Elephas maximus indicus: one gene and its partners. The protein of the gene in region 2 interacts with the protein of the main gene of each other region in a pairwise test. Links are inferred from orthologs where the notes say so. Each region holds a gene or a part of one and is shown on either strand. Other genes may lie near its edges. The genes, in order: SMAD1, PIAS4, SMAD7 and SATB1.

Region 1 (7,449 bases), on a different chromosome or scaffold from region 2:
AGAGGCAGTTGTTTAAACAGAACAAGGGGATACTGCACAGTTTAAAGTCAGGAAAGGTGTTGTATCCTTTTGCTGTACTTATTCAATCTGTATGCCGAGCAAATAATCTGAGAAGCTGCTAAAGAAGACTATGGCATCAGGATATGCAGTAGGACTCATTAACAACCTGTGTTATGCAGATAACACAGCATAGCTTGCTGCAAGTAAAGTGGACTTGAAGCACTTACTGACGAAAACCACAGCCTTCAGTATGGATTACACCTCAACATAAAGAAAACAAAAATCTTCACAGCTGGACCAATAAGCAACACCATAATAAACAGAGAAAAGATTGAGGTTGCCAAGGATTTCATTTTACTTGGATCTACAATCAACACCCATGGAAGCAGCAGGCAAGAATTCAAACGATGTATTGCATTAGGCAAATCTGCTATAAAACACCTCTTTAAAGTGTTAAAAAAGCGAAGATGTCACTTTGAGGACTAAGCTTAGCCTGACCCAAGCCATGGTATTTTCAATCGCCTCGTGTGCATTTGAAACCTGGACAATGAATAAGAGACTACAGAATTGATGCCTTTGAATTGCGGTGTTGGGGAAGAATATTGAATATGCCATGGACTACCAGACGAACAAACAAATCTGTCTTGGGAGGTGTACAGCCACGATGTTCCTTAGAAAGAGGGACGGCAAGAATTTGCCTCACGTTTTTTGGACATGTTGTTAGGAGGGGCTAGTCTCTGGAGAAGGACGTCATGCTTAGTAAAGTAAAAAGTCAGTGAAACAGAGGAAGACTCTTGATAAGATGGATTGACACAGTGGCTGCAACAATGGGCTCAAACACAGCAACAGTTGGAAGGATGGTACAGAAGAGTGTTTCCTTCTGTTGTACATAGGGTAGCTATGAGTTGGAACCAACTCCATGGCACCTAACAACAAAAGCAACAAGTGAAACATCCATAGACAAGCAGGAAAAGAGGATATAAAATATGTGTGTGAGGGGTCGGGAGGGTTGCTGGAGTGGCCAGGGCAAGCATCACTGAAATGGGGGCAGTTGAGTAAAATCTTGAGGTGAGGGAGTGAGCCAAGTGGCTGACTCTGGTAAGCACTTTCCAGGGAAGGAACAGCTAGTGCAGAGGTATTGAGGCGAGGGTGTGCGAGGGTCGTTCCAGGGCTAGTGAGGAGGACAGACATACTTGAGGAACTCATCAGGAGTAGGACACAGGTCAGAGAGGTAAATAGGGGTGGGGATTGAAGATCATGGAGGGTCTTGCGCACATTGTGAGAACTTCTACATTGAATGAAAGAGGAGCTGAGAGACAGAAAGAGAAAGACAGAGAGAGGTTGTTTGTTTTTCGATACAATGATGTTTAACAGACAGTCCATATTCAGGTATTCACTGTTGTTCCAATAATGTCCTTTCCAAACATGTACCTGAATGTTTACTACCACTTGAAGAAATAACTTTCACAATGTGCCAAATCAAATTCCATAGTATTTGTAGTATTAATAGCTATTATTTGGGATTACTAGTGGTGCACTGAGAAAGGCCGTCCACAGGTTAGAAAAAACATGAACAGCTTTATAATATGATTTTATCGCTCTTCCCCTCAATCCAACATACAAGCGAGCACCATATGCTGCATTTAGTTAAGTGTTTTTTAACAGTTTTATTGAGATATAATTCACGCATTTAAAGTATACAATTCACTGGCTTCGAATATAGTAACAAAGTTGTGCAAACATCACCACAAACTAATTTGAGGACATTTTCGTTACCCCCCCAAAAGAAACCCTATACCCTTTAGCCAGCATTCCTCCAAACTCACCTTTCTCTCAGCCTTCCAACACAACAACCAACCCACTACCATCCAGTCGATTCCCACTCACAGCGATACAGGACGCAGTAGAACTGCCCCATGGAGTATCCAAGGAGTGCCTAGTGGATTCAAACTGCTGATCTTTTGGTTAGCAGCCATAGTTTTTTACCACTATGCCACCAGGGTATTTCCCCCCTGCCTTAGGCAACCATGCATCTACTTTCTGTCTCTACGGATTTGCCTGTTTGGAACATTTCATATAAATGGAATCTGGAATCATACAATATGTGTCTTTTGTGACTGGCTGCTATTACTTAGTGTAATGTTTTCAAGTCTCACCAAGTTGTAGCATGTGTCAGTACTTCACTTCTTTTATGAATGAATAATATTCCATTGTATGGATACGGAGCTCTGGTGGCACAGTGGCTGCTAGCCAAAAGGTAGTCAGTTCGAATCTATCAGTGGATGCTTGGAAACCCTACGGGCAGTTCTACTCTGTCCTATAGGGTCGCTGTAAGTTGGTATCAGCACCATGGCAATGGGTTTGATTTATCAAGGATTTTTATCACATTTTGTTTATTGAGGAAGGATTTTGAGCAGAGGAATGACCTGATTGGACTGGCATTTAACTAGGCTTACTCTGGCTGTAAGTAGCCCTGGTGGTGCAGTGGTTTCAGTGCTTGGCTGCTAACTGAAAGCACACGTGGGTTTGAACCCACCAGCCACTCCTTGGTAAAAAGATGTGGCAGTCTTCCATGAAGATTTACAGCCTTGGAAAGCCTATGGGGCAGTTCTGCTCTGTCCCACAGTGTCGCTAATAGTCGGAACAGACTCCAAGGCAGTGAGTTTGGTTGGTTTTGACTCTGGCTGTTGTTCTAAGGAGCAGAGAGTGATCAAGTGTGTCAAATGCTGCTGGTAGGGAAAAGAAGATGAAGCCCAAGAATTGACCAGTAAGTGCTCAAATAGTTTAACAAAGAAAGCAATTAAGTTAGCAAAAGTATTCTGCTATTTAATTTATAAAGGGTATTTTATGAGTTTTATGGAATTTGTTGCATTTCCCTTGAAAAATTAAAATGGAATGAAAAATAATAATTATTAAGAAGAATTTAAAATGGTATGCCAGATTTCATAAGGGCATATGAACCATTGCAGAGTATCACTTATTTATGTAAGTCTTTGGTATTTTCTTTACTGTAAAAAATGGTGTAGGAATTCTTTTGGTTCATGTGAAGCTTATTCCTCAGAATAATTATTTTCCTCTATGCTAACTCAACAATATGGTAATTATCCAAGATTTTATGCCAGCTTCTAGAAGGTTGGCCAAGAGAAAAACTGACTCTTAAGAAAAGATACTTTCAATGTCTATGCAGGTCAGGTGGGTTGTGCAGATCAGGTAGATGAGAGCTAGTTTTTCTTTGCGGGGCGGGGGGGAGTTGTGTGTTCTAAAAGATAGTAGAAATTGGACCAAACAGACTTCTAAACTCCTTTCAGGCATCTGTTATTATTTGGAGCCAAGAAGGTGAACTATTCAAATTATTGGACCCCAAATTGGCACAAAACACATCTTTTGATTTAGGGTTGGTATGAGCGGAATCGAGGGCACTGGGTGGGTTACGAGTACATGGCCGGAGAAAGATGTGGCAGTCCGCTTCCCTGAAGATTACAGCCTTGGAAACCTATGGGGCAGTTCTGCTCTGTCCTACCGAGTCGCTGGTGAGTCGGAATCAACTACATGGTAAGTTTGGTTTTGGGTTGTGAGCGCATGCAATAGTTACTCGGTCATCCAAGTTTAGATACCCGCAAATTCTGAGGCCTGCAAATCATTCGGGAATGAGGGGCTATGAAAACTTGACCTAAGAAGAGGTCTCGGGAGATAATTGCCAAAAATACACTCCACGTTTACAGTGTGGTTCGGTGGGTGCGGTGGATGTGTTAATGAGTATTTCAGAAAATAAACACGCAGAACACTGAACTTCGCTAGCAGAGAATGCACTAAGACCTCAGCAGCTGGATTAAAAGAGGTAGGTTCAGGAAAGCCAGCACGCAGCGTTCTTTTTCCTTCTTGGGGCGTGGGGCTGGGGGCGGTCGCTCGGGCCGCTTCCCCGCGCTGTCCGCGGGCCCCGGCGCCGCTGCGCTCGGGCCGGCCCAGCCGGGAATTTGGAGAGGATCCCTGGTCGCGCGGCGGAGGCGGCGGCGCGCGAGTGCGCGTGTGAGCGAGCGAGCGGGCGGGCGGGCGAGTGCGCCGGGTATTGGCAGCGGTGCAGTGGAGGCTGGGCGGCTCCGACTCCCTGACGCCAGCGCGACCAGATCAATCCAGGCTCCGGGAGCAAGCGGGCGGGAGGAGGAAGGAGAAGCCGAGCGCCTTAGCCCGGGCAGAGGAACAGGGAGGCACCCTGCGAGCGGAGCGCGGCGCAGCGCCCGGCCGGCCGGACCCGGGCGGCGGGACCCCGCTCGCCCGGCCATTCGTGCGCCCGCACGGACGGGCGCGCCGCCAACCCGGTAAAACGAAACAGAACCGAACCCAGCTTGCCTTGCTGCCGTCTCCCCTCCGCGCCCGAGGTTTCCCAGAGCCGCCGCTTGAGCCGGCGCGGACGGCACGGGCTAGCGGGCGGGCCGGGGTGGTGCGGGGTCGGCGGCGCGACTGCCGAGGGGAGGGGGTTCTGCGCCGCGTGGGGCGAGCCGGGAAGCGGCCCCCTCCCCCACGAGGGCGCCTCCCCGCCGCTCGCAGGAGAGAACCTGCCACCTCGGCCGCCGCCTCCCTTCGCGCCCAGCCGGCCGGGCAGGGCTCCGCCGGGGTTCCCCTCGCGTCTTTGTTGGGTCTGCGCCGGAGAAGCCGCATTCCTTGGCCTTGGAGCCTCGCCCCCGGCCCTGCCCGCGGCGGGACCTCTCCGGCCGCCCTCCCCCTCCGCCTGTTCCCGGTTTCTCTTTCCCGGTCTGCAGCCGGGCCGCGTCCGTGTGCGCGGCCCGCGGACCCATTGTGTCCCGCGCCGGCAGGGCAACCCTTGCGGGAGTTGGAGAACCGGCGCCGGCGCTGCCGTTTACGGGCTCGGGGAGCGGGGCTCGCGGGAGGACGACACGGGTGCCCTGGCCCCTCCGCATCGCAAAGGGTTGCCTTGTCTGTCCCAACGAGCGCGCCTTTGGGGTCGAGGTCAAGGAAAGTTCGCACCGAAATTCTAATTTATTCAAAGGTTTGGCGGCGCGTAATTTTTTTTTTTTTTCGTCTTCCGCCTACGCCGCCTGCGTCTTCAAGTGTCGTCTCATTCCTTTCCCTTTACTGGATTCGATTGCCTCACTGCATGTGTATTTGTGAGTTCGCTGTGGAACAACTGTTCTTTTCCCTGCTCCCTGCCTTTGTTAGGTGTTCTCGGGGTTGTTTGTATTGGAAGATGGGGATGGTGGGTGTGAGAGAGACAGATGTGGGCTTGTTTTTCTAGTTGCTGAGTATATATGAAGGCTTCCAGGGAGAGCGTTTCCTTGATGTGCTTAGGAAGGGAAGAGGAACAAATGCCTGGCGAATCTTACAACTCCAGTAGCTGCGGCTCCTGTTTCTTTGGAGGTACATGCAGTTTTTAAATACACTGCGCAAGATAATCAGGAAGGCGCTTTCCTTCTGAAAACTGAGGCCCGTCTCAGAACCATCTCCTGAGGAAAGCAGCGTTTTCGTGAGTGCTGTGACAACTGGCCTTTTTCTTTTCACTCGTGTTTTTTTTTTCTTAATTGCCATTGTATCTCAAGTTTCTGAATATGTGGAATGATACAGAAGTTGCATGATTGCTGTGTGTCTTCTGTGGCTGAAACGCTTTGCACCTAAATCACAGAATGCCTTTATTTCAAAACATCTCTCGCTCAGATCGTCTCTCGTGGATAACATGCCCACACTTCAGTAACACAGTGAGAAAACTGTTCTCTGCCTGTGTTGATTTTTCGCCTTGTTTATAATTACCACTCTAAATTTTATCGGAGGTAGGTGAGCCGTATTGGAGGAACCACTACTTAAAAAGAACTGAGGCAGAACGGCTGTTCACCGCCCCAGAATTGGCATACATATTTTTGCACCAGTGTTGTATGATTCTGATGTAGATGCAAGGCCTGACTGTGCTGTTCTCATGAAAGTGTTTATCCTCCCTCTGTCTTTCCCATTTGCAGTTATTTGATATTTCTGTGAGGTGGTATACCATTTGTGTAATACTGCAGTTCTTAGGAAACGGTAAACGGGGTCGTTCGAGATGGTTTTCTGGAGATGGGTGATGTTGGAGCCTCTAGAGGATCCAGGCGGGATCAGGTTTCTTCTAAGGGTGGGGATTTGTCCTTGATTTAGTTTTGACCCTTCCAACCATAGGTATGTAACCAAATACGTTTTTTCTTCTGCAGTATCTTTTATACTCTTGAAAACCTGATGACCTTTGCATTCTAGAGAAATGACAGTTTTTAAGGAATTAACAGTGTCAGCCTCTTGCACCTTTTAGAATTGAAGTAAAAAAAAAATTTTTTTTTCTACTAAGTTCAGATGAAGCATTAAAAGGAAGTAAGGCACATTTTCCTAAATATATTTATGAGTTCCGAACTAAATTTCAGTTTGTAATTGCAATTTCTAGTAATTCTGGGTCACGGATAAAATTAATAATTTGGTAGACTGGGAAAAGAATAAACTTGATTCTAATTAGACGAGTGTATTTGAGCTGCAGTAGCCTACTTAATCAAGGCCAAGTTGTGTGTATAAAAGGTCTCATTTGTGTAGTCTTACAAGGCTAATGGAGGCATCACTGAAGCTTTATAAATAATGTAAGTTGTGTATAATGTAGAGTCTCAAGAGACGGCAGAGAAAGCATCATTACCAGCCTTTTCAACCTGCTTGAGATCTTAAATTGATTTACAGCACTGAACTGGTGCAAAATGATACATCAGGATGACTTGGGGTCAGCCTGTAAAAGTCTATGATGTCAGCCTATTAGTTCAGTCATCATAATTAAACCATATTACGGGGGCAGCTAAGCAGGAGTCTGGCGTTATCCTTCAGATATGGGTGGTGCATGAGTTTTGTTTATAGTGCAAAAGACTAAATGGCCAAGAACCCTAGTGTGTCTGAAGGAGGGGGAGGCTTATGGAACTCTGAATTTCTGAAAAAATTGAAAGTAAATGCAGAGATGTTCAGTCAGCATAGTATAAGTAGCTTTCTGTTTGGTAGTGGAGAAATAGATGCTTTGAGGGTACTGGTAAGGCAGGACCGCAGCAGCTCTGATCCGTGTACTGAATCATGCTTCATGTGAGCTGGAATTTAACTTGGCCTCGGGGACTTTCTAAAATACCAGCAGAACCCATATCTCTTATCTTATTAGCATGGGTTCTCACTGTATCGATGTATCAGCTGACATGTTATTTCTTTGACTAGTCATAATTACTAGGACTCCACTGAAACCAAACACTTGAACATATGAACAATTCAGGAAAAGAAAACTCCTGTTTTTGCTTAAATTTTTGGTAATCCTTACTCAGTTCGTGGATCATCTATGACTGTGTTGCACAGTAAGGTAGCCACTAGCGAAGAATATTGACTGTACCGTGGACTGCCAGAAGAATAAACAAGTCTATCTTGGAAGAAGTACAGCCAGAATTTTCCTTAGAAGCGAGGTGG
Region 2 (7,410 bases):
CAAAAGCAAGACGAAGGGTGTGGACAGTGAGTGGTGGGAGGGGAGAGGGTTGGGGGTTGCTGAGAAATATCCTGGGGGTGGGGAGGTGAGAAGGATAGACAAATTTCTTGACTCTTGATTAGATTACAGACAGATTCCTCAACCCTGATTAGATCAGGGGAAACCCTGGTGGCATAGGGTTAAGTGCTACAGCTGTTAACCAAGAGGTTGGCAGTTCGAATCCACCAGGCGCTCCTTGGGAACTCTACCAGGCAGTTCTACTCTGTCCTATAGGGTCGCTATGAGTCAGAATCGACTCAACGGCAGTGGGTTGGGTGGCTTAGATCAGGGCTGTCTCCAACATCTTTAGGGAATCCCCATTTTTGTCTCTTTGAGCCAGAAAATGTGATCTGTGATGGGAACTCTACCAGGCAGTTCTACTCTGTCCTATAGGGTCGCTATGAGTCAGAATCGACTCAACGGCAGTGGGTTGGGTGGCTTAGATCAGGGCTGTCTCCAACATCTTTAGGGAATCCCCATTTTTGTCTCTTTGAGCCAGAAAATGTGATCTGTGATCAAGATTATATGGTGATATAGAAGTTCTTGGGTTAATGCTTTCCACTGCTAACCAAAAGGTTAGAGGTTCGAGTCCACCCAGAGGTACCTCAGAAATAAGGCCTGGCAATCTACTTCTGAAAAACCAGCCACTTAAAACCCTGTGGAGTGCAATTCCACTCTGACACACATGGGGGCGCCACGAGGCAGCGTCTACTCCATGGCAACCGATGTCCTGGGATGGAGACGTAGGAACATATACATTGTGTTTACATTGTTATCTAGTTTACTTGTTACCTGTACTTATTGTGTATTTACATTGTTACCTATTTTAAGGCGCTTTAACACTAAACCTACGAATTTCACAGGTATACTTGGCCTAGACCTGATTCAGTTTACTTCAGTGCAAAAAAGGAAGTCAAGTTTCTACAGCTATGTTGCTAGTCGGCCTCTAAGAGATTCCAACTCTTGGCAAGCCCGAGTGTGCAGAGTAGAACTACTCTACAGGGTTTTCAAGACTGTAACTTTTTGGAAGCAGATCCCCAGGCCTTTCTTCTGAGGCACCTCTGAACAGCTTGAAGCACCAGCCTTTTGGCTACTAGTCACATGCGTAACCATTGTACCACCCAGGGACTCCTTCTATACCTATTAAAAAAACAAACCAGCTACCGTCGAGTGGATTCCAATTCCTGGCAAACCCATGTGAGTTAGAGTAGAACCATGCTCCGTAAAGTTTCCAATGGCTGGTTTTTTGGTAGTAGCTTGCCAGGCCTTTCTTCCAAGGTGCCTCTGGGTGAGTTCCAAGAGGTAACCTTTAGGTTAGCAGCTGAGCGGTTAACCATTTGACCACCCAGGGACTCCTCTGTACTTACACCTATATGTATATCACCTAACAGTTCAGGTGATTTGTGATCTTGGCTAAATTGGGAAGGATATGACTAGACTTGATGAATTCTGATTTAAAGCTGGCTGTATAATGGTCTTGTGGGGATTTAACATTTCCTCTCTATTTTTTCTGTCCTTAGTTGCTGTCAAGCCCACTCTGACTCATGGTGACCCAATGTGTGTCAGGGTAAAACTGCTTCCTAGGTGGTATGGATTGTCCCTCTAAAATATGGAAACCTTGGTGGTGTAGCGGTTAAGTGCTATGGCTGCTAACCAAAAGGTTGGCAGTTTGAATCTGCCAGGAGCTCCTTGGAAACTCCACGGGGCAGTTCTACTCTGTCCTATAGGGTCCCTATGAGTCAAAATCAACTCCAGTAGTAGGTTTTGATTTTTTGGAAGCCTTCAATCATGATTCCATTTGGGAATGGTCGTTTTTGTTATATTAATGAGGCAGGATTAGCATAGGGTGTACCTTGAGTCAATCTCTTTTAAGATATGTTGTTGGTAGGTGCTCTGAGTTCCATTCCAACTCATAGTGGCCCTCCTTACAACAGAATGAAATATTGCCCAGTCCTGGACTATCCTCGCTATTGTTGCTATGCTTGAGCCCATCCTTGCAGCCACTCGTCAATCTATCTCATTGAGGGTCTTCCTCTCTTTCATTGACCCTCTACTTTACCAAGCATGATGTCCTTCTCCAGGGACTGGTCCCTCCTGATAACATGTCCTAAGTACGTGAGATGTAGCCTCGCCATCCTCTCTTCTAAGAAACATTCTGGCTGTAACTTCCAAGACAGATTTGTTCCTTCTTCTGGTAGTTCATGGTATATCCAATGTTCTTTGCTAACACCATAATTCAAAGGCATCAATTCTTCTGTCTTCCTTATTTATTGTCCAGCTTTCATATGCATATGAGGTGATTGAAAATACCATGGCTTGGGTCAGGCACACCTTAGTCCTCAAAGAGATGCCTTTACTTTTTAACACTCTAAAGAGGTCTTTTGCAGCAGATTTGCCCAAGGCCAATACGTATGTCCTTTGATTTTGGGGTGCTAGCTCTCGTGGGTGTGGTGTGTGTGTGTGTGTGTGTGTGTTTAGCTCTCGTTAGGAAACCCTGGTGGCATAGCGGTTAAGAGCTATGGTTGCTAACCAAGAGGTCGGCAGTTTGAATCCACCAGGCGCTCCTTGGAAACTCTATGGGGCAGTTCTACTCTGTTCTATAGGGCTGGTATGAGTAGAAATCAAGTCAAAGGCAACTTTTTTTTTTTTTTTTTTTAAGCTTTCATTAATTGCAATTTGAATTTGTAGGGCAGGACTTTTGCCTGTTTTGTTCACTGCTGTGAACCTCAGGCCAAATCCAGAGTGGATTCTGTCTTTACTTAAAATATTGATATTTTATTTATCATGGAATTTTTCTGCATTTATTTCGATTTTTAAAATTTTTGCATTAACATATTTACCTTGATCACAGGATTGTTTGGTGCCTCCTTAATTTTTCATAAAATTTAACTTTGTTTTTGGTGAAAATATACACAGCAAAACATGCTCCCATTTAATGGTTTCTGTTTGTCACATATTGTTCAGTGACATTGGTAACATTCTTCATATTGTGTCAATATTCTTGTAATTTCTGCTCTAGTTATTTCACCCCCATTAATTTAGGACATAATGCTTGATAAAATAGAGGGTGAGCGAAAAAAAAACCCTCAAGGAGGTGGACTGACACAGTGGCTGGAACAGTGGGCAATGACTGTGAGGATGGCAGTGTTCCATTGTTATATACATGGGGCCGGTATGAGTCGGAAGTGAACCTATGGCACCTAACAATTTAGACTCACTGCCCACTAAGCTCTTCTATGCTTTAGAGTTACTGTTGTCGCTTTGGTCTCATATAGTGTTGTTTTTTTTTATCTCAATAGTTAAGGATGGTATTCTTTTTAAGCTAAACTTTTTTTTTGTTTGTTTGTATAAAGATGACCTCAGGAGATGGTTTTGGTTCAATGTTTGAAGAGTATCTCAAAGCAACAGTATCCGGGGGTTTCTCCAGTCTCAATGGGTCCAGGAAGTCTGGATTCTTTGGGAATTTGAAGTTCCAGTCCACCTTTTCCCCCTTGCTATCAGGATGCATCTAATGTGTCCCAGATAGAAACGTTTGGTAACAGTAGCTGGGCACGGTGCAGTTCTGGTCTCATGTTAGAGGAAGTAGTGGTTCATGGCGCCTCCTTAAATTTTGCGCCTGAGAATTAGCATCTCAGGGGATAGGTCTTGAAATAGAATACATTTATGTCCTCTTTCTTCCCGCTTTGGACACAGGAAAGAATGAGATCCGCTGACTATGGGCACTGGGGAGCCAAGGACAGCGTTTGAGCTCGGGAGGTTCAGGTCAGTGCAGAGCCGGAATTCCGAAGGGGTGGGTGGGGGAGACAAAACGTGGGGGGAGGCGCCTGCAGAAGGACGCGGGCTGCACGAGGGGCGGCGTGTGTGGGCGGGGGTCCAGCGTTTCTCAGGCTGGCCGGGCTGGGGGGCTGCAGAGCCCGCCCCCCGGCCAAGGACCCGGATGTGCGGCGCTTGGGGCGCCAGGTCTGCACCGCGCTGAGTGCACTGGCGTCCGCTTCAGTGGAGCGACCGTCCCCTCCCCCCACGCCGCCAGGCGTCCGGGCACCTACCTGGCGGGCGCCCGGCGCAGGGAGCCGCGGCACCTGGCTGCACTGTTGTCTGCGCCGCCCCACGCTCCCTCCCTCCCCAGATGGGCCCAACCTTCCGCCCCCACCTGCGCTGGACTCTGTCCCTTTAAGAAGCGAGACCCTGCCGCGGGTGGGCGTGGTCACCGCGGGCGAAGGAGGGGCGGCTTTGGGCCGCCCTGATTGGCTCGAGGCCCGGGCGCGGCCGCGCGCGCAAGCGCAGCGCGCAGGAGCGCGAGCCGCGGGGGAGGAAGCCGCGCGGGCGCTTATTGGCCCCGGCGGCGGCCCCGCCCGCGAGTGGCGGGCGGTCACGTGACGCGACGGCTGGGGGTCCCGGCGCTGGGGACGCTGGTGGCCAAGATGGCGGCGGAGCTGGTGGAGGCCAAAGTGAGTGAGCGGCGGCGGCGCCGGCCCGGGCGGGCGGGCGAGGGGGCGGGGCGCGGCCGGGCGGCGAGCCGGGGCCTGCGCCTTCCGCCCGGGGCCCTACAGCGCGGCCCGACGCCCGGGGTCCCCGCGTCGGCCCCGGTCCGGGTCCGGGGCTCGGGGTGCGGGCGGGGGCGGGGAGGCTGGGGGCGGGGTCCCAACACCTCACCCCCATCATGCCGCCCGGAATCGGGGATCCCCCAACCCGCTGCGAGGTGCCGCGATCCGGGGCTCCGTAAATACAGGAATAGGGCCGCTCCTCCCAGCTTGAGGCAGGGTCCACCCCGGACAGCGTGATGGCTTGGGGTTCTCGTCCCCTCCTCGTCCCAGCGGGGTCCGTGCTCTTGGGCCGGGAGGAGTGTCTGCGTCTCCCTTGCGCCCCCTCCCCATGCCATAGAGGGCTAGGATCTGGGGTTTATCCCTCGCGCAGTGAACCAGCTTAGAAGGGTCCCCTGACTGCAGCCGTGTGCTGCCACCGCCACCAGCCCAGGCTGCGGGACCAGGGTCCTAGATCACCACTAATACTGAGTCCGCTGGCGGGCTGTGCCCCAGGCTTGGTTTCGGGGGCCCCGCTGGGGCTCCTGCCTGAGTCCCGGAGCCCCGCCCCCTGGGGCTGAGCCATTCCCTGTTGTGGGTCAGAGGTCTCAAATCCTTCATCAGCCTCACGCCGTGGGTACTGCTTTCTCCTTCTTATTCCCCTCAGGACAGCATCGGGAGTGACTGACCCCGTTTCTAGGGGTTCTAAACCCCACGCTCATGCCATCAGATGCCACTTCCAAATCTTGGGTGTTTTTCCTGTGCTCTGTAGTAGCAGCAAACTTCTTGGCCTAGGATATCTTCCACCTCACCCAGCCCCAGGACTGGTCCTTTAAGTGGTTCCGATGTGGCTTGAGTCCCTCTTTTTTCCATATATTGGTCCTTGGAAGGTCCCCAGCTGGTTCCAGGAGAGGTAGGTCCCTGGGCTTCTTCCCGACACCCTGGATCAAGGATCCAGGCTCTGCACCCTCGGAGATGGTGGTCCCCTCTAGCAGCTTGGGGTCCCTTCTGACCATCCTGGGATAAAGCTGAGAGCATCCCTACCCAGGAATCTGCTTTCTTCCAGATCCTCCCAGAGGCGAGTTCCCAAAATGTTTGCCTTGATTCAGAAGTGACATAGGATAGAGGAGCCCAGAACTTCTCTTAGGACCTCATCACAGCCCTGCCCCGCCCCTCCTGGGGTGCCCTCCCCAAGGCTCCAACCTGCAAATGCATGCTTTTTTCTGCCCCTCCCTCTCTGCTTCTGCCTCCGTTTCTGCTGGGATCTGAACACAGCTCTCCTGGTTCTGGGATCATAGTGTGTATCTCCCCCCCAGACCCCCGCAGTCCACAGTCCCCACACCCCACATGCTTCTGCACTTCCGGGGCGATGGAGAAATCGCCACTTTGCCCTGGAGATGTGACAGCAATCACCCCACTTAAAGTCCCCCCAGAGCCCTGAAATCTAAAACTTCTCATGGGGCCATGGAGCTGTGACCCCAGACCCCTCCACAGCCAGAGGGTAGGGGCTGTCCTTTCTTATACTGTCCTGGACCTTGAAATGTGATCTCATGAACTCTGCTTGACCCATTGGCGGCTGGGGCCCCCTAACCCCAATTAAATCAAGTTGACCCTTCTTTCAAGTCCTGTAAAACGTGAGCCTCCCTTTGGGGAACTTGGCTCCAGCAAAGCTTCCCTGATCCTGGGCACCTTCTCTATCCTTTAGTCTTTTGTCGTGGTCCGGTCCCCGCGCCGCCCCCCCCCCCCCCCCGCCAGCTTAGAGTGCCTTAGATGCAGTGGAAATGCCCTCTGTTTTTCTTTATCTCTGGGACTCCCGAGAGGCTGCTCCCCTCTCTCCCCAGACCCTCCTATTTTCGAGCTGGATATTTGCTTTTGGGTGCAAAATAGAAGTGGGGTTTGTCTATAAACTTTGAAATCTGAGACTCTTCACTTGAAAACCACGAGGTGGGTTTGGGGCGGGGGTGGGGGCCATAGCAGCCTTCCACCATCTCCTGCATCTGCGTCTTGCCTTTTTCTGGAGCACAGGCCCACCACCTTTCTCTGATCTTCAGAGGAGCGCACGGCGGAGACAGGGTTCAGCACGGCTACTGGAGCTGGTGTCTCCACGCGGCATCCAAACACGTCCACTGTGTTCTGGAAGCTGTTCGTAGAAACAGTTCTGAGAGGCAGAGGGTTCTGAGAGGCGGGTGGGCCAGGATGAAGCCGCAGCAGGAAGTGCTCTCTGCGGCCTGTGAGGTTCTTTCTGAGCATCCATCCCCCCCGCCCTGCACCCCCATCAGCAACAAGGACAGGCTGCTCAGTGGTGGCAGCTGCTGGGGAATTTGAGGCATGAGCCTATGGAAGCCTGAGGGGTGTGCTGTCAGCTGCCTGTGCCGCCCTGTTCCTGCCTGGCCTGGGCGAAGGGTGCCTGGGGGCTCTCAGGGGTGGACTGATGCCGCTCATCGGTGTGGTCACGCTCACACACTGCTTATGGCTTAGTAGTGGGTGTCAAGTTGCCGCATGGTATCACCTCTCCCCTTTCAGGCCTTGGGGGTCTTCCAGAAGAAACATCTGCGTGTCTTTTTTTTCACTGAAGTTAGGAAGCTTCTGGACTCATTGAGGGCCAGCAGGCTGCTCAGGTCCCTGGGCAGGGGGTGTCCTGGTGAGGAGGGATCTCACAACACCCAGGCAGGTGGGCAAAAGCGGAAGGAAGATGGCCTCAGGAGCCAAAGGCTGCTGGCTCTGCCACTTATAAGCAGGGTGGCCTTGGGCCAGCCACTTCCCCTCTTTGAGCCTCAGTTTCCTTACTTGTGTAGCAGGTGAAGTTGTTACGGGATTTGCAATGTTAAAAGCTCCTACCTGGTGCCTGGCA
Region 3 (8,516 bases), on a different chromosome or scaffold from region 2:
ACACATTTGCATGGCTCAAAAGTCAAAAGACAGAAAATTTACATACAGTGAAGTTTGCCTCCCAGCTCTGTTCTGCAGCCACTTAGTTCCCTTCCCTAGAGGAAACCACATGTCTCCCTCTAAACACACACACACACACACACACACACACACACACACACACACACATTATTATCAGGTGCTCTCAATTCCAACTCATGGTGACCCTATATGACAGAGCAGAACTGACCCCGCAGGGTTTCCTAGGCTGTAATCTTTACAGGAGCAGATCCCCAGGTCTTTTCTCCTGCAGAGTGGCGGGTCAGTTTAAATCTCCAACCTTTCATTTAGTAGCTGAGTGCTTAACCATTGCACCACCGGGATTCTCTCTCTTTTTTTTTTTTTTTAAGCTGTGGTAAATATATATGCAACAAATCGTTTGCCATCTCAACCTTATTTATGTGTACAATTCAGTGGCACTAATTATGTTTATCAAGTTTTTCAACCATTACCATTATCTGTTTTACGTGCCCATATATTTGAAGGTCTCAGGTCTTCTCCTTCTTTACTTCTTCTGGATGTTTCTCTTATCTCCTCTGTAACAAAGTGTATTTCATCCTGTCACCCCAGTCTCAACCCCCGGTACCTAGTTGGGTACACTGGACAGCCACCTAGCAGACGTTATGGCTCAGCTGACAGCATGTCTGCAATGCAAGAATATTTGATGAGTCAGGGCTTACAGCACCTTTATTTGACAGTGAATTAGATGCGCGTTCATTCACCTATGTTCTTGTTCTTCAACCATAACCCAAGAAGTGCTGCTTGTCATATCAGCCTCACTCCAGCTTTCTTCCTTTCATAAACCATGGCTTTCATTTGTATCATTGCCAGTTAGGGATGGCTTAGGGCTCACTCACACATTTTTCAGGGGACGATTGTGCAAGAAATGTCGATATTTTCCAACACTCTTTTGGCCTCTTCAATTGTTTCTTCTTTTGGTTACTGTGAGAACAAAATCCTCATCCCTGCCTCACCCCTGGCCTCACCCCCACCAACACGCACCCACATGCACTTTGGGGGCGTCTCTCTGCCCTTCACTTCCCTGAACCATTGACAACCAGGAAAGAACTGAAAGGAAGAATCCTATGCAGGAGTTTTTCAGCTTTGGCTTAGGGTTGTTGCTAGGTGTTGAGAATTCAGGAAATTCTCCTTTTTCTCCCTTCCCTTTCTTAAATCAGGCTTATTCTGACAGGCTTCCTCTTCCCCTGGCAGTTGTCGAGGGTCACCTGTTTCTTCATCTGCTTCTCGTGCACTTTGCTGCTTTCCATCCGCGTGCACTCTGGGGATTCCTGAATGCTCAGAGACCACAGGCCTTGGAGAAACTTCCTAGGGTTTCCTCTCTCCACTTAGCCAGTGTGTCAAGTGGCAGCACCTGCCCCCCCTCCCAGGTGCTGGGGGTGGGGTGGGTGGGCAGTGATTAAGTAGCTAGCCAGGTCTTTAGCTGACTCCATCCTTGTTTGTCATAACTCTGCCGCAAGTTATTTTGGTCTCTGTGACTTGTGGCTGCACCATGATTAGGGTTTGATTACTATCACCAAAGTGACTAAAAGATGAAAATAGAAGCCACAACAGGAAATAAACAACTGCAAATGAGATATTTTATTCCATATTCCCTGCCAGCAAATGATTAGAATCAAACTCATTCACAATAGTTTGGTGAACTCCTAAACTTTTTTTTTTTTTATTAAGAGGATCAGAATAGTCTTGAGAAGCTGTGCTTGTCGGTCATATTTGTACACGTGGAGGGAAAAAAGGAGCTCCCTTTCTAGGCACACCCGCCAGCCAGAAGTTCCCCTAGTGCCTGCTTCTTTCTTGGAAAGGAAAGGAGTAAGAATGGGATGGGGTGGGGCTGGCACGCAGGAAGGCTCCGGATGTTAACTGATTCAAGGGGTGCCAGGGAGCTATAAAGCAGCCCAGAACCAACAATTGTAGCTACTTGCCCCACATCCCACCCATTTTCTACCCAGCATAGTAAAATGGAGGAGGGAAGCTGCGTGGAGAAGGCAAGATAGGAATGACGCCTGAATTAAAACACCCACAATTACACTATATGGGAACATACCTCTGCAAGTACACGCATGTTCCACCCAGACAAGCTGTGACGTCAGATTCCACTCCAAAACTCCCGTTAAACCTACTTGCCCTGTGTGTGCTCTGGCCTCACATGGCGGAGAGATTTAGACGTCAATGGCCAGATTTCCAAAAGATTCTTAAGATCCTCTAGTTAGCCAAGAAACGTAGTTAGAAGGTATGATACTCGCTTTTTCTGTTTATGTACATCCTTCCTGCCATTTTGTGGCCCGGCCTAGCCTCTCTCAAAAAGTGAAGATCTGCTAGTGAGGCTCAGAGCTGAGAGACAGAATGGGACCCAAGAGGGCAGGCAACTTGCTCAGGAAGCTTCAAACCCTGCCAAGTGCTCGCCTAACATAAGGATCATTATTAGCGCAAGTTGCTTTACTAGTGAGGGGCTCTGCAGGAATCAGGTCTTCTGACTTCTAGTCTGGTACTGTACTCTTTCTAAGCCTTCCTGAGGTGAGTGTATTAGACATTTCCCAGGCACCTCGAAAATCTCATTTCTGTTTCTTCTGGTTGTATCTGCCTATGATGTTAGAATCACCCAGAACCAAATCTCCCCCTTCTCCATTTCCTCCTGGGCTTTCTTGGCTGCTGTCTTTGCAGACTGTTTCTTCAGAAAGTTGTACACACACAGTTTCAATAAGCAACATTTTTATCTACAACAAAATTCTGATCTTATACAGTTGCAGTCTAGGTGGCCTTACAAAGCAAATATTTAGAATGCCAGCTCCTACTGCCTCCTACATACACGTTTCTGCACCGCTTGGCATTCTGCTATCTTCTAGATTAATAAACTTCAGAGCTCCCTTGTCGGAGATGATCACGTAACCAATGTTGCTCATTTCTTCTCCCCTTTATGTCTCCAAAGGTGCTTTTTGGGGGGTGTGTGGGGAAAGTGGTCCAAATGCCTCTTGAAGTCCTATCCAGCTCTAAGTGTTGATTCCTAAATATTTAGTAAGCATCTACCGCCTGTCAGACATTGGAGGGGAGGGGCCCTTAGCTGTAGGGGTGTCCAAGATTCATCTGTGCCTTTTAAAACTGTATCATTTAGCGGCAGAGATCAAACAGTGCGTTTTAGCGTTTCTAAAGATTCTTTAAAACCCCGTAGGAGTTTCATGGGGCCCTGGTGGTGCAGTGATTTGAGAACTAGGGCGGCGTGCTACAGCGCTAACCAAAAGGTCTGCGGTTCAATCCACCAGCCGCTCCTCGGCAACCCTATAGCCTATGGAGTAGTTCTAGTCTGTCCTATAGGAGTCGCTATGAGTCGGAATCGACTCGGCGGCAAGGTTTTTTTTTTTTAACGAGTTTCATTGTTGTACTGATCTCACAATTGTAAATGAGTTTTTAAAATCGTATTTCACTGAATAAAATGTGAGATTAGAATCACCATGCCAGCTAATAGCCTTACCGCTACTGATGCGTATATATTTAAATCATTACGTCTTTAGTACCGCCGGTTTTCACGCTGCAAAAGCGCTCCTGTTCTTTCTCTACCAATGCTTTCCTTACCCATTTGCCTGTAATGACCTGCCAGGTGGGTTATACGCTGCTCCCCAACCTGGGGTCAGGGAGTGACTCTCTGACCCTAAGCACCTTGAAAGCTCCGAGGACGAGGAGGGGCCGAAGTAGGCCCCGTATGCATATGCACGCACCGGGCAGATTGTTCAGAGGGTAATCTCCCCGCGCCCGGAGGCTGGCGGCGGGCGGCGGAGGTCTTCCGGGCCCTGGAGGAAACCTGCCTGCGGCAGGCAGGCGAGCCCCCAGCTCCCTCCTTTCTCGCCGGGCTGCTGCCCCTCGCAGCGCATAAGCCGGCCAAATGCATTCCAGAGCTGTGCGCTAGACGCACTTCTGCAGGCAGTCCCAGAAACCAGAGCCCGGAGCGGGAGCGGCGGGCGGGAGCGCGCGGCCGCCGCTGAGGTCACATTCGCGCCGCCTCCCGCCCTCGGCGGCCTGGCTGTTCCCTCCAGCGCACACTCCCAGGGCCTGGGTCCAGTCCGGTGTAAATGTCTTTTCAACAGAGACAGCCTTCTCCTCCTCCCCCTCCCTCCCTCCGGCGGGGCCAAGGAGCCACCGTCAGGCCTTTAAACAAAACGAATGAATGGAGTGCCGGGACAGCGAGTGCGAGGCTCGGGGTCCGGGTCTAGGTCGGGCCGCCGACCGCCTAGCTCCGCTCCCAAACTCCCGGCGAAGCCCCCTCTGCTCCCAGCGGTTCCAGTCCTCCGCTCAGCCGGCTCACCGGCGATTCTGGGAGCCTCTGCGCCCCACGCCCTCCCCCACCCCCCCTTCAGACCCGGGAGGGGGTGGCAATGGTGGGGGGGGGGGTGAGAAATAGCTTTTAGAAACCCGATCTGTTGTTTGCGAAACACAATCGCTTTTTTTTTTTAAAGCGACAGGGTGTCTAGACGGCCACGTGACGAGGCCGGAGCCGGGCGCGCCACTGCGCAGTGGAACCAGCCGAGCAGAGGCCCGGAGGGGGGGCGGGGGGGCGGGGAGGAGGCGGTGGCGGCGGCGGCGCTGGGGGCGGGTAGGGAGGGGGAGGAAGGGGGCGGGGGCGGGAGGCCTTGCGGGAGGCGGCGAGCCCCGGGCACACTCGCTCGCTCGCTCGGCGCACGGAGGACCCTGTCCCTGAGCCGAGCAAGCCGAGGCAGCAGGGCGCCGCGCTTGGTGTGCTCGCCGCGCCGGGGAGAGCTGCCCGAGACGGAGCCAGCCCGCCGGCGCCAAGCCGCCGAGCGCCTGGCCGCGGAGCCCCGGAGTGCGGCACTTTGAACCCCAGGCGGCGGCAGCAGGACCCGAGAGCCAGGAGAGGGCGGACGGGGGACAAGGAGGCTCCGGGGAGCGACGAGGAGAGTCTCGGAGGAGGAGGCGGCGCGAGGACACCGGGGCCTCCTGCCGCCGCCGAGTCGGGGCGAGCAGCCCATGCGGGGAGGCTCGGTGGACAGCAGCGGCCAGGGGAGGGGGCGCCGGCGGTCCCCGCATTAGCGAGCAGCTTGCGCCCCGGGAGGGCGAGAGCGCGCCGACCCGCTGGGGGCCCGCCGCCGCGCCGCCCTCCCCCGCGCTGTCAGCTCCGCCAGGCGCAGCCGCCGCGGCCGCAGCATCTTCTCCCCTGCGCCTCCGCCAGCCCGAGGAAGTCCCGCCTAGGGCCCCCGGGAGCGCAGGAGGCAAGACCAGACTCCCCTCGAATACCCAGATGCGGAGGATTGGAGCCACCGAGCCAAAGCTTTCTGTGGATTAAAAAATACACGATTTTTTTTTTTTTTTTGGCAGAAGATAAGGAGAGGAAGACCAGCGGGGCTGTGCAAGGAAAGAAGGGGGGATGTAACTCGTGGATACGGTTTTCCACCCCTCAAACATCTTGTTCTACTTTGTAAACATTTTTTTTTTCTATCCCAGTTCCAGCCGGAGACCTCCGGGGTGCGAGGAGGTTGTGTTTTTCATTTTTGGTTTTGCATATTACATTCTTAGCTTTTGAGCGAGCCTTCTTATTTCATGCGGGGTGAAGTCCACTCGGCCCCTCCCCTGAGTCTTCGTGTGCACGGAATTCGAGGAGATCCGGTTACTAAGGATATAGAGGAAAAAAATAAATCCCGTGCCTGCTTTTTTTTTTTTAATTGCTTGCTTCTCCCCACCCCCAAATTAAGTTGCTTAGCAAGGGGGAAAGAGGCTTTCTCCTCCCTCCAACAGCCCGGCCGAACGCCTTTCGGTTTTTGCCCCCGCGGATCTTCTATGTAGAAAGCCGAGGCTGGCGAGCCCGACACTCGGGAGCCGCTGCGGGGGGGCCTCTATTTGGGGAGGCGCCGACGGGGGCAGGCTTGGTCGCCCCCAGGGAAGCGGCGGCAGCTTTCCTCCGGGGCGCGCCGGGGCCCGAGAGCCGCGCAGGGCGCGGGCCGCGCGGGGTGGGGCAGCCGGAGCGCAGGCCCCCGAGCTCCGGCGGGCGCCCCCGGGCCCCCGCGCGCGCCCCGGCCTCTGGGAGACTGGCGCATGCCACGGAGCGCCCCTCGGGCCGCCGCCGCTCCTGCCCGGGCCCCTGCTGCTGCTGCTGTCGCCTGCGCCTGCTGCCCCAACTCGGCGCCCGACTTCTTCATGGTGTGCGGAGGTCATGTTCGCTCCTTAGCCGGCAAACGACGTTTCTCCTCGCTTCCTCGCCCCGCATGTTCAGGACCAAACGATCTGCGCTCGTCCGGCGTCTCTGGAGGAGCCGTGCGCCCGGCGGCGAGGACGAGGAGGAGGGCGCGGGGGGAGGCGGCGGAGGAGGAGAGCCGAGGGGGGAAGGGGCGACGGACGCCCGGGCGCATGGGGCCGGCGGCGGCGGCGCGGGCAGGGCTGGCTGCTGCATGGGCAAGGCAGTCAGAGGTGCCAAAGGTCACCACCATCCCCATCCCCCAACCGCGGGCGCCGGCGCAGCCGGGGGCGCTGAGGCGGATTTGAAGGCGCTCACGCACTCGGTGCTGAAGAAACTGAAGGAGCGGCAGCTGGAGCTGCTGCTCCAGGCCGTGGAGTCCCGCGGCGGGACCCGCACCGCGTGCCTCCTGCTTCCCGGCCGCCTTGACTGCAGACTGGGCCCGGGGGCGCCCGCCGGCGCGCAGCCCGCGCAGCCGCCCTCGGCTTACTCGCTCCCCCTCCTGCTGTGCAAAGTGTTCAGGTGGCCGGATCTCAGGCATTCCTCGGAAGTCAAGAGGCTGTGTTGCTGTGAATCTTACGGGAAAATCAACCCTGAGCTGGTGTGCTGCAACCCCCATCACCTTAGCCGACTCTGCGAACTAGGTAAGAAGTTCTGCGACCACCCTCTTCAACCCCCGCGCTCAGATGGTTGAATAAAAGCCCCAGTGCGCTGTGTGTTTTTGCAGCCACCTCTCCAGGGGGAAGTGTGCATCCCCTTCTGGCAGGAGACTTGGGAAAAGGCAGAGAAGGGACAGGGACATTCCCTGGGGCTTCCCTTCCAGGTTCTTATCTGTTGCCCCGAGGGAGGCTGTGGCATTGTTCGTGCACACGCTGCACAGACCTGCGGGTAGAAATTAGGCACCCTCATTTCCGCATCAGTAAGGGGATGCAGAGAAAAGGTGGGGGAGGGGGGGTTCACCCCTATCCCGCACCCGGAAAGGCGTTGAGGTGTGTGGCCGAGTTGGCCTCGGTCCAAGCCCGCCAAGGAAGGCTGGGAGAAGCAAGGAGTTGTAAAGGCTGCAAAGTCTTTTCTCTCTTAGTAAACAAGGAGAGTCACGACGGGCACAAGTGGCCCCGATTCTGCCGTGGGCGCTCAGCTTTGGGGCTCGGGGTCAAAGACGGTTAGGATGGGAGGCCGAACTTGATAATCCCCCCCAACTCTGCCAGCACGGGAGTGAAACAAAAACAGTCAGGCGAAGTTGGGTCTCCCTACTTTTTCCAGAACAGAAAAGCATAGAATGCCTATTAACTTGGCCCCCAGCGCCTCGGTGTTGCTGCTGCCCCTTTCAGCGCTGGGGCCTGGGCTGCGCGGCTGAGACCCGGAGCCTCCGTCCCTTTATCCTCTCAGCCACCTCCACTCCTTCACGTCTGTGCCCGGGGTGGGCCATGGTACACCCTAGGTCATCAGAGCCCAGCGCCTCCAGACTCCCTCCCGCTCGAGTTCACTAGAATACTTTTGGGGCGCGCCTCCCGGGTGGGCTGGGCCAGGGGAGCCCGGCGGCGGGGGCGGAGGGAAATTGCGCCCGGGGGTGGGGGGGTGCTCGGAGGGTGCCTTGTCGCCCCCCGCCCTTGAACTGTGCAGTGCGATGCCCCGTTAAGCCGCGGCCAAGCCGGTGGTTTCCAGCCGGGCTGGCCGAACGCGGCGGCGACGGCCGCAGACGTGGAGGAGCGGAGCGCCGGGGCTGGCGCCAGGCGGCCTCTTTTGTTTATCTGACAGCTAAATATCAAGGCAATCACCGCCTCGCGGCCCTGCCTCCAACCCCCACAGCTAAGACAAACAGTTGGGCTCAAAGAATGCCTCTGTTATCGTAAGTTTCTATCTCTCTTTCTCATGGCGCGGCCTTTATTTTCTCTTACTTTTTAAATTCCAGAGTCTCCCCCTCCTCCTTACTCCAGATACCCGATGGATTTTCTCAAACCAACTGGTGAGTAGATGCTTTTAAAAATACCCTTCCTTTCTGAAGTTAGATTCGGAGCTTCTAGGACTCGGGTTTTCTTTCTAGGCAGTGGACGAGAGAGGGATGGGTTATGGCAAGCTGGTTATATAGGTTTCATCTTTTGGAAATTTGGTGGATTTTTCTCAGTTTTTGTTGTGACTGGATTTTTTTTTTTTTTTTACGGAGGTATTTCCTAGATGAGCTTTACATTGTGTTCCTTTTTTACGTGTTTGCACTCCATCACCGAAATTGGCGTGGCCTTAGCACGTGGAAGCCTTGATCCACGCATAAGGGTCTTGGGAGCCA
Region 4 (8,312 bases), on a different chromosome or scaffold from region 2:
TTTATGTACTTCATCAATCCCAAGTACTAATGTAACATAAATTAGTCATCCAAGACAACATGTGTGGAAGAAACGATGTCTTACGTAAAGGGCACATCTATGCGTGGCCCTCGGAAATTTACAGAGCAGATGAAAAACCACTAGAGTGCTTTACAGAGTCCCTGCTGTATATCCGTGTTGTGTTTAGCTTGATAGTGTTTGTAACCAAGAGATTTTTACAATAATGGGGAACAGGTGCCTGTCACCTGACCTTTTAGGCCTAATTTACAATCCACAACCTGCCACATGAAAAAAAAGATCATTGAAAACCTTCTCCTGATCTTTTAAGTCTTAGCTAAGTTAATGCAGGCTTCAACCATCACTCAGCATTTTCATATCTTATCCAATCAGGTTCACAGAGCTGGCAACAGACTCCTTTGCAGAAGAAATAAACCAATATTCATTTTGTTGCTGCTCGTGTTTAAGATCCCGGGAGACAAAAGAGCTACTTTTGTAGATTTATCAACCAAAGAATATATTAATTTATTAAAACAACTGCACAAAAGGCATTCCTTTTAAATACTTTTACATACAAAGAACTATTATTTATTACATATTTCAGCTTGTGGGAAAATGAGGAATGCATTGATTCTGTAAATAACTATTCAGACTTTTGGAAGTCTTTTTAGGTCTTCTCTCTCTATCCCCCCCCCCCCCCACCCACTCCATTTTAAGGAACCAGTACTTTAGGAAGGAAATCCCTATTTGTTCCTTTTCATTCACCATTTGTATTCATTATTCAGAAAGGAACACAAAATTGAACCGCGATTTTATTTCTCTTGTATAATCTTGTTACATCTAGCCGTATTCAAATTCAACAATGCTTTGTATTTTATAGCTACTGTTTACTTATTACGTATTACATAGGACTGAACAGCTCTACATTTAAAATACTGTTTCCATTAGAAAAAATATGAAGTAATAAAGTGTCAAATGGAGATGAGGAATAGACATGTTTGGTATGTTTATAAAACGCACAGCCGTTTAAAATGTGCACAAACAGGACACATATTTTGCCAGTGTTTTGTTTTATGTGGCATGCACGCTGCCTAAAGTGTATTTAATAATATGCCTAACCAAGTTAATTAAAGTATTTATGTCTGGTGATTGTGTTAAATACTTGGAGAGGTAGTGAAAGATACAGCCAGTTACTTCTGCTAACTAAAGTTGAAATTATGCACTTATTATAACCTTTTCTAACAATGTGAGAAAAACAGAGTAAATATATTAAATTTGTTGCACAACAGATGCTTAGGTTGTTAATATTTAAGATGCCTATTCATGCTATTCCTGTCTGCACATTTGTCAAAAATGTAAGCTTGAATGCTAATGTTTGCCAGCAGACTGGAGCAGCCAGTATATGAATGTACTACCGTTCTGCTAAAATAATATGCAATAGAAATAAAGGACTGCTGCACGAGCACCAAACAGCAGATTAAAGGTTTTGAGAGCAAACCCCTCAACCTTGGTTTTCTCCAGTCTTAAAGTACGCTTTGGTTTTGTGCAGCTACATTTGACTGTACAGAAGGAATTCCACATTCCTGACATCTCAGAAAAATCCACGTTATCGAGGGTGTAAATTTCAATAAAGTTTCAATGGGATGAGTTACTCCATCAGCAGCAAAACACATTGTGAATTCCAGGGACTGCTCAGGACAAAACCTGACACTGGGCGGCTGTGTTTTACTCATTCTTACCCCCTTTCTCTGTCCTCTTGGGAAAGTCAGGTCCCCTTGGCCTCCCAGGATGCAGGCGCAGAACCCCAATTAGTCCAGGCAGAGAGACTCTCTCCCGGATAGGGCATCTTTGGGTATTCCCTTGTCTCTTTCACAACCATATGGAGTACAAGTCACATTTGCCTGGAAGTCTGGAACGCCGCTGAGAAAGTTCATGGAGGAAAGGCGCAGGGGTCAAAGTCGCCAACCAGGGCACTCTGAGGGCGACCCTGGGGTTGACACTTGTAAGTGAAATGTGCAACGCTCTGGGGGAGGCCGGAGCCAAAACTAAGAGAAAGAGCCCTGCGTCCTTCTCCTCTCAGTTTCCTGGGGTCATCCCCAAGGTGTCTTACTGAATGCGTTTCCCCGGGACGCGCGTGTCACTCCCCGGACCTGCCACCTGCCTGTTTCGTCCCTTCCACGGTAGTCTTCCAAACCCCCACGCTCCGCCGCCCTGGGAACTTCAGCAATGGTGCGCTCGGAGAAGGCCGCCGCGCTTGGGTCCCCGACCGCAGGAGGGGGACACGGTGCGGGCCCGGAGGCCGTACCTGAGGTACCCCAGCTCCCGCTAGGAGGAAGCACCTCCTTCCTGCCTCCAGCCCCACTTGGAAGCCACATTCCTGCCGGCAGTCCCTCCAGCACCGACCTCGCCACAGCCGACTAGGGCTCGAAGGCGCAGTGCCGCGGCTTGCAAACTCCCGGCTCAAACTTGAGCGCCCCGGTGCCGGAGTGGCTCCCGGGATGGAGAAGTTGCCACAAACTTCCCAGGCCCCTTTCCGCCCCGCACTCGAGCAGCCACGCCGATGGGGGGCGGAGGAAGGCGGAGATGGACTGGGGAAGGATGCTGAGCCGACCGGCGATCCGACCGGGGAGCGTTTCCACTCCCCCAGCCCACTCAGCCGCGCGCCTTTCTGCCTGCCGGGCCCGGGGGCCGCACAGAGAGGCTCCCCTTTCTCCCCATTTACTTCCTGCAGTCTTTTCGACTCACTTTTCTCTTTCAAAAGAGGCCATACCGAGGTCCTGGAGGGGCTTGTGCAGCCCGGGTCTGTCGGGCAGGTGTGTTAGTGTGTCCACACCCTAAGAGAGAACGAATGGTATCTTCAAGTCCCCCATCCCGGTGGCTCGCCCTCACTCCACTGGCCCACCACTTTGGGATCTGACTGCGCGAAAGACCCCTGCCGCCTGGCGCCCACAAGAGGGGAGCCGAGTCGCCCCAGCAAGGGGCACCATGGGTGGGTGCCACCGAGAAGTTTGGATTGATTCCGAAAAAGAGAGACAGTGGGAGATAAAAGAGCAAGAGAAAGAGCAAAAAAGAAGGAGGGCGGGGGAGAAAGGAGGCAAAGGAGCAGAACTCACTCAGGCATGGGCGTTGGGGACGGCGGTGGCTGTCGAGTGCGGGCCCGAGACCCAGAACGGCTCCCTGGGCGGGCGCGCCGGCGTCGGACTTCCGAGGCGGCGGCTTCTGCCTTCTGCCGCCGCCGCTGGAGCTGCGGCTGCCGCGGAAGTTAATTGCAACTTGACTTCAAGTTGTCTTCTTTCCCCATCCGAAGTGGGCGTTTAAAGGGGAGAGAGAAGCGAGGAGCGAGCGAGCGAGCGCGCGGGGCCGAGGGAAGGAAGAGCAGGGGGAGGGAGGAGATGTTAACGCGGGAGGGGGAGGGGGCGGCGGCGGGGGCGGGAGGGGGAAGGGGCCGGCGGGAGCTGCTCTCCGCTCGGCGGTCGCCGCGCCCGCAGTCTGGAGCGCACCGGAGCGGCCGGGGCGCCCCCCGCGGGAGCCCGCAGCCACCCGGGGCGCGCATCCAGCCGCGGCGCCTCGGCCCCGGCACGCTGCGCCCGGAGGCTCGGCGGACCCCGCGCCGCCGCCGCCGCCTCCGCCGCCGCCTCGGAGCGTGTGCGGCGCGGGCTGGCCGGCGGGGCGGCGAGGGCCCGGCCCGCCTCCCCAGCGCCCGCCCCGGCTTCTCCCCCTGGCGGTGGAGCCTCGGCGGCCGCCGGCCACACTGGCTGCGCTGGAGCCCGAGCCGAGCCGAGCCCGAGCCGCTGCAGCCGTGTGCCGCTCTTGGGCTCTCTCCCCGCGCGCCGGCCGGGGTGTGGGGGGCGGCGGGCTGGAGGGGCGAGGGCGGGCGAGGGGGCGCGCGGCGGGGTTGGCGCCGAAGACCGGACCCTCGGCCACGAGGGGTAAGTGTGGGCGCTTGGGGGTGTGCTTGGGAGTGCGCGGCGCGGGTCTCCAGGCCCGCCAACCCTGCCCCCCTCACCTCTCCAGGCCCCCACCGCTCGCACCCCTCCTCCTGCCGCCTGCGGCTTCCTCTTGTTGTTCGTTGTTGGCTTGAGCTTTTTGGAGGGGAGTGAGGGGGTGACTGTAGTGTGTGTGCCAGCGGAGGAGGAAGTCAGGTGAGAGGCCTTGATGCACCCCCAAACCCATCCGGAGCGGGGTGTATCGCTCCCCAGTAGGGACATGTGGGCCAATTTATTTCTCTCGTCAGTGTTCGATCGAGACGATCTTTCCTAGAGGGCCTCGTTCCCTTACAGTCTTGCTATGTCCGAGTCCCTTCACCCCACTCTCGCCCCTCCCGGGCCCTTTACCCGTAGCACTGCACCCCAGCTGAGGAACACGTGATGAATGGAGGAGAGGGGTGTTTTGTAAACCCCTACGCCATGCCCCAGCCTATTTATTTCAATATTCATCCTTCCATCAGCCGCTGTACTTCTTTTCAACCCACTGGAAAGGGACGCCTAAGCTGAGGTTCAATTTCCCTCAAAAAGCAGGGGCAAAGAGGATGTCATAGACAGGGGACTCGGGAGAGGAGAGGGGCAAGGACACCTTAGCAAATGGGGACTGAAACCTCAAAAACCTTCTCTGCAAGATCTGGGGTGACTGTAGGCTCAGGACTCCTGGCTAACAAGAAACTGGACCTCCATCAACTTTACCCCCTTCTTTCCTGTCATTCCACCCCCCAGCTCTAAGGAAGCTTAACAGGTCTTTTGTTTTTGTTTTGTGTTGTCTTTGGGAAATTTGCCTTGAGTATGACAACAGAAAATTACTACTGTTTACTCATGGTTAGGAGGATTGTGGAAAGAAAAAACATAGCCTTCTCTTTGTGCGTGTGTGTGTGTGTGTGTGTGTGGGGCAAGAAGTGCAGTTGTGAGGTTCATGGCATGAACTGCAAAACAATAAGGACTGTGGAGCTGCCTCCATGTATTTTTAGAAGCTGCACTTTCTTGAGTTCCTTTCACACAAGGCTTGCTCCCTTGTTAAGTCCCCATAAATAATTGTATTTAGAGAGAAGGAATCTAGGGAAGCAGGAGGGAGAGTGCTAAAATCTCCATCCTGCCAGCGCAGAGCACTGTTTGCAGTGAAGTTCCTGGAAAGTGACTGTGGGCTGAGAATTCAGTTTTTCCTAAAAGCTCTGTTAGGTCCTCTTCTGTCATAAAGCACGCTGGGAAAATCCTGATATCTGTGCAGTCTTATTTTATCTTTTACACAGCGGTTGATTCAACTTTCAAGCCTGGGTAACACACACATCCACTGTGTTGTATTTTTGTGTGGTTTTTCTAAATAAAGGAGAGCAGCGCATGTATTCCTGCTGCTTTCTGATATGCCAGTTCTTTTCTGTCAATGGGTATTGAATTCACTGGAATTCATCTGTCTTTTTCAGCTGATTATCTTTTTATGCAGAGACAATTCCAAAGACATAAAAACATAAAAAGTTTTATGAATTAGAGTGTGTTTCTTTAGACAACTGGCCCCCCTCTTTTGTAAGATATGATTGGCAACCTCAACTCCTACTTCTGTAAAGCAGAAGGGTATGAATGTTGCAATGGACAAAGCGAAGTAAAACACATATTTTCCTCCCTGGACCACTATCTGCCTTCACACATCCCAGGAGTCACCAAGTCCTTCTGCCTTAATTTACCAGAATGCTGAATTGTCTAACCAGTACCAATATTCCCATTTGAGAATGACATCAGTTTGGGTATGGAAATAATAAATTCTCAGTCCTTAATTACTGCTTATTAGCAATTTTTTTGTCACAGACAACTGATTCTCCAATTCCAAAAGCCAGAAATGAAACTTAAAAGATACTGAAATACAAAAAAAAAAGGGTTTTTTTTTTTTTTGTCTCTTACACACTGATATATTCATCTACTTCCCCAAGTTATCAGCTGAGCCCACATAAGTTAAGGTACAAGATGTACCCAGGAGTTGAACCAAGGGAACATTTTGCCCCAAACCTTTTGAACTTGCTTTTATTTTCTTCTAAAGAGCTTAGTACGGAGAGTTCATAGGCTTAGTATAAGATGGAATTTTGTAATGCTGACCACAGTACATTAAATAATATATCTTGATAAACTCTTACAATGTATGTGCCTTACCCCTGGCATGTAGTAGGAATTCATTACATACTTGCTGAATTAAGAGGGTAATGAAATAATGTAATTCAGCTCAAATTCACTAGTACAGGGCTAAGCCTTCCTTCTGAAGAAAAGAGCATTCAGTGTGAAAGTTACTAGGGTATGACATTTGTGCTTCTAAATTTTTTTTTTTTTAACAAGTTCAGATCTAACTTAAATAATTGAAGGGCAAATAAATCTGAAACCTGTCACGTGGTTAATAACAGTAGTGAACGTCAAAAGGTAGCCCTGGTGGCCAAGTAGTTAAGAGCTCAGACTGCTAACCAAAAGGTTGGTGGTTTGAATCCCCCAGTTGCTCCTTGGAAACCCTAAGCAGTGGTTCTACTCTGTCCTACAGGGTCGCTGTGAGTCAGAATTGACTTGACAGCAACAATATCAAAAGAGGGAGCACTAGTGACGCAATAGTAAAAGTACTCCACTGCTAACCAAAAGTTCAGAAGTTCGAACCCACCAGCCACTCCGTGGGAGAAAGATGTGGCAGTCTGTTTCCCTGAAGACGTAGAGCCTTGGAAATCCTATGGAGCTGTTCTTTTCTGGCCTTTAGAGTCACTATGAGTCGGAATTGACTCATTGGCAGTGGGGATGTCAGAATCTACACTGGTTGTTTTCCTCTGAGAACAGACAAAATATAACCTACTATATAGTATGAGAAAGATGCAAGGAGGAACAAAACAGTATTGGCCCTCAAGGAACTTATTTGCTGGGAAAATGACATTAAAATGTCAAAAAGACAGCCCAGTGAATCAGTAAATAGTTTGAATCAAAGTAATACTTGAGAAAATTGATTTTATTTTTTTGTTTTTAAAACAGAGGAGGTAGAGTTCCTGGAATCTCCAGGTTGGGAGGTATTTTAAAGGCTGGTTTTGCTGTCGAACCCTGAGGGGCCATCCAGTGCACACGTCCTGGTCCTGAGTGACTGGGAACGCACCACTTGCCTCCATGAGGGTAAGGGTTTTACCTACAGAGCTCTTGGCACAGAGTAGAGTTCCATATATATTGTGTGGATGAATGAATAATTTCTGAAGTAGTTCCATCTTTTTATGCTTTATTAGATTTTCTTTCCTTGTATTACACAGAATTGGTCTTCCTGAGGAGGCCCTGGTGGCGTAGTGGTTAAGTGCTACGGCTGCTAACCAAAGGGTTGGCAGTTCAAATCCGCCAGGTGCTCCTTGGAAGCTCTATGGGGCAGTTCTACTCTGTCCTATAGGGTCGCTATAAGTCAGAATCGACTCGACGGCACTGGGTTTGGTTTTGGTTTTTTTTTTTTTTTTTTGGTCTTCCTGAAACTTCTAACCATTAGCTTTAGTTCTGCCATTTACAGCAAAGCAGAGCAAATCTGTTGTATCAGTCAGGACAAGCTATCTTATACTGGAAAAACAAACAATTCCAGTTTTTAGTGGCCTTGTGATCTAGCAGCATCTGAGGCTGTCTACATTCAGGAGAATCAGGATCAGACCAAAGCTGATTCCCATGAGGCAGAGGTCAGACATTTTCACCATTTCTGACACCAGCCAATCTCCCCACCCAGCACTCTCTAATTCTTTGCTGGGTTTGATAATTCATTGCAGTGGCCACACACAACTCACAGACCATACTCAAAATGAGGCGGTTTATCAGGGAAGTAACAGGCTATGACTCAGGATCAGGATCAGTTTAGAAGTAACAGGATACAACTCAGGAGACAGGATATAGTTCGTCAATCAGGACAGCTTCCAACCAGGACAGTTCTCAGCTCCTTCTTGGCCATGCCCACAGGCAGGCCCTTCTCTGGCCATGCCAGTTAATAGTCCTTCTCTCAGCCACACCATCCTACAGGCCCTCTCTAGGCCTCTGCCCTGCTCGAGCAAGTGTTAATAGTTCTTTATCCCTGCCAGCAAATGCTCAGAGTCACCCCACTCTGCAAGCACGCCTCCTGCCTAAAGGCACTCAGCTCTCTCTTGTTCTGTGGGCTGGCAAGTCCACCACAGCACCTTCACTCTGTGGGCTGACAGGCACCACTGCAGCCATCTGCCAGTCCCGTGATTCTCACTGCTGGTACTGCTGCCACCGTTTCTTTGGTCCTGGCCTCTGCTGTGGTTACCACCATTTCTTGCCATCTCACACTGTCTTCAGTGTTACAACTCTCTCTGTCTCCTAGGTCTGGGAGGTTCT

What was found.
Region 1: the proteins of PIAS4 (region 2) and SMAD1 interact in a two-hybrid assay, tested with the Homo sapiens proteins (2 studies listed by BioGRID and IntAct). The link is inferred for Elephas maximus indicus from reciprocal best matches to the Homo sapiens genes PIAS4 and SMAD1.
Region 3: the proteins of PIAS4 (region 2) and SMAD7 interact in a two-hybrid assay, tested with the Homo sapiens proteins (2 studies listed by BioGRID and IntAct). The link is inferred for Elephas maximus indicus from reciprocal best matches to the Homo sapiens genes PIAS4 and SMAD7.
Region 4: the proteins of PIAS4 (region 2) and SATB1 interact in a two-hybrid assay, tested with the Homo sapiens proteins (2 studies listed by BioGRID and IntAct). The link is inferred for Elephas maximus indicus from reciprocal best matches to the Homo sapiens genes PIAS4 and SATB1.

What each region holds. Positions count from the first base shown.
Region 1 is NC_064831.1:39,417,766-39,425,214, reverse strand, and holds the start of SMAD1 (mothers against decapentaplegic homolog 1), read left to right. Parts: upstream 1-4,009; 5' UTR 4,010-4,026; intron 4,027-4,227; exon of another isoform or gene 4,228-4,316; intron 4,317-5,284; exon of another isoform or gene 5,285-5,373; intron 5,374-7,449. UniProt on the Homo sapiens protein: Transcriptional modulator that plays a role in various cellular processes, including embryonic development, cell differentiation, and tissue homeostasis.
Region 2 is NC_064821.1:7,060,016-7,067,425, forward strand, and holds the start of PIAS4 (E3 SUMO-protein ligase PIAS4), read left to right. Parts: upstream 1-4,348; 5' UTR 4,349-4,460; coding exon 4,461-4,487; intron 4,488-7,410.
Region 3 is NC_064829.1:57,559,764-57,568,279, reverse strand, and holds the start of SMAD7 (mothers against decapentaplegic homolog 7), read left to right. Parts: upstream 1-5,063; 5' UTR 5,064-6,263; coding exon 6,264-6,876; intron 6,877-8,144; coding exon 8,145-8,198; intron 8,199-8,516. UniProt on the Homo sapiens protein: Antagonist of signaling by TGF-beta (transforming growth factor) type 1 receptor superfamily members; has been shown to inhibit TGF-beta (Transforming growth factor) and activin signaling by associating with their receptors thus preventing SMAD2 access.
Region 4 is NC_064845.1:21,472,166-21,480,477, reverse strand, and holds the start of SATB1 (DNA-binding protein SATB1), read right to left. Parts: upstream 3,332-8,312; 5' UTR 3,111-3,331; intron 3,102-3,110; exon of another isoform or gene 2,832-3,101; 5' UTR 2,743-2,831; intron 1-2,742. UniProt on the Homo sapiens protein: Crucial silencing factor contributing to the initiation of X inactivation mediated by Xist RNA that occurs during embryogenesis and in lymphoma.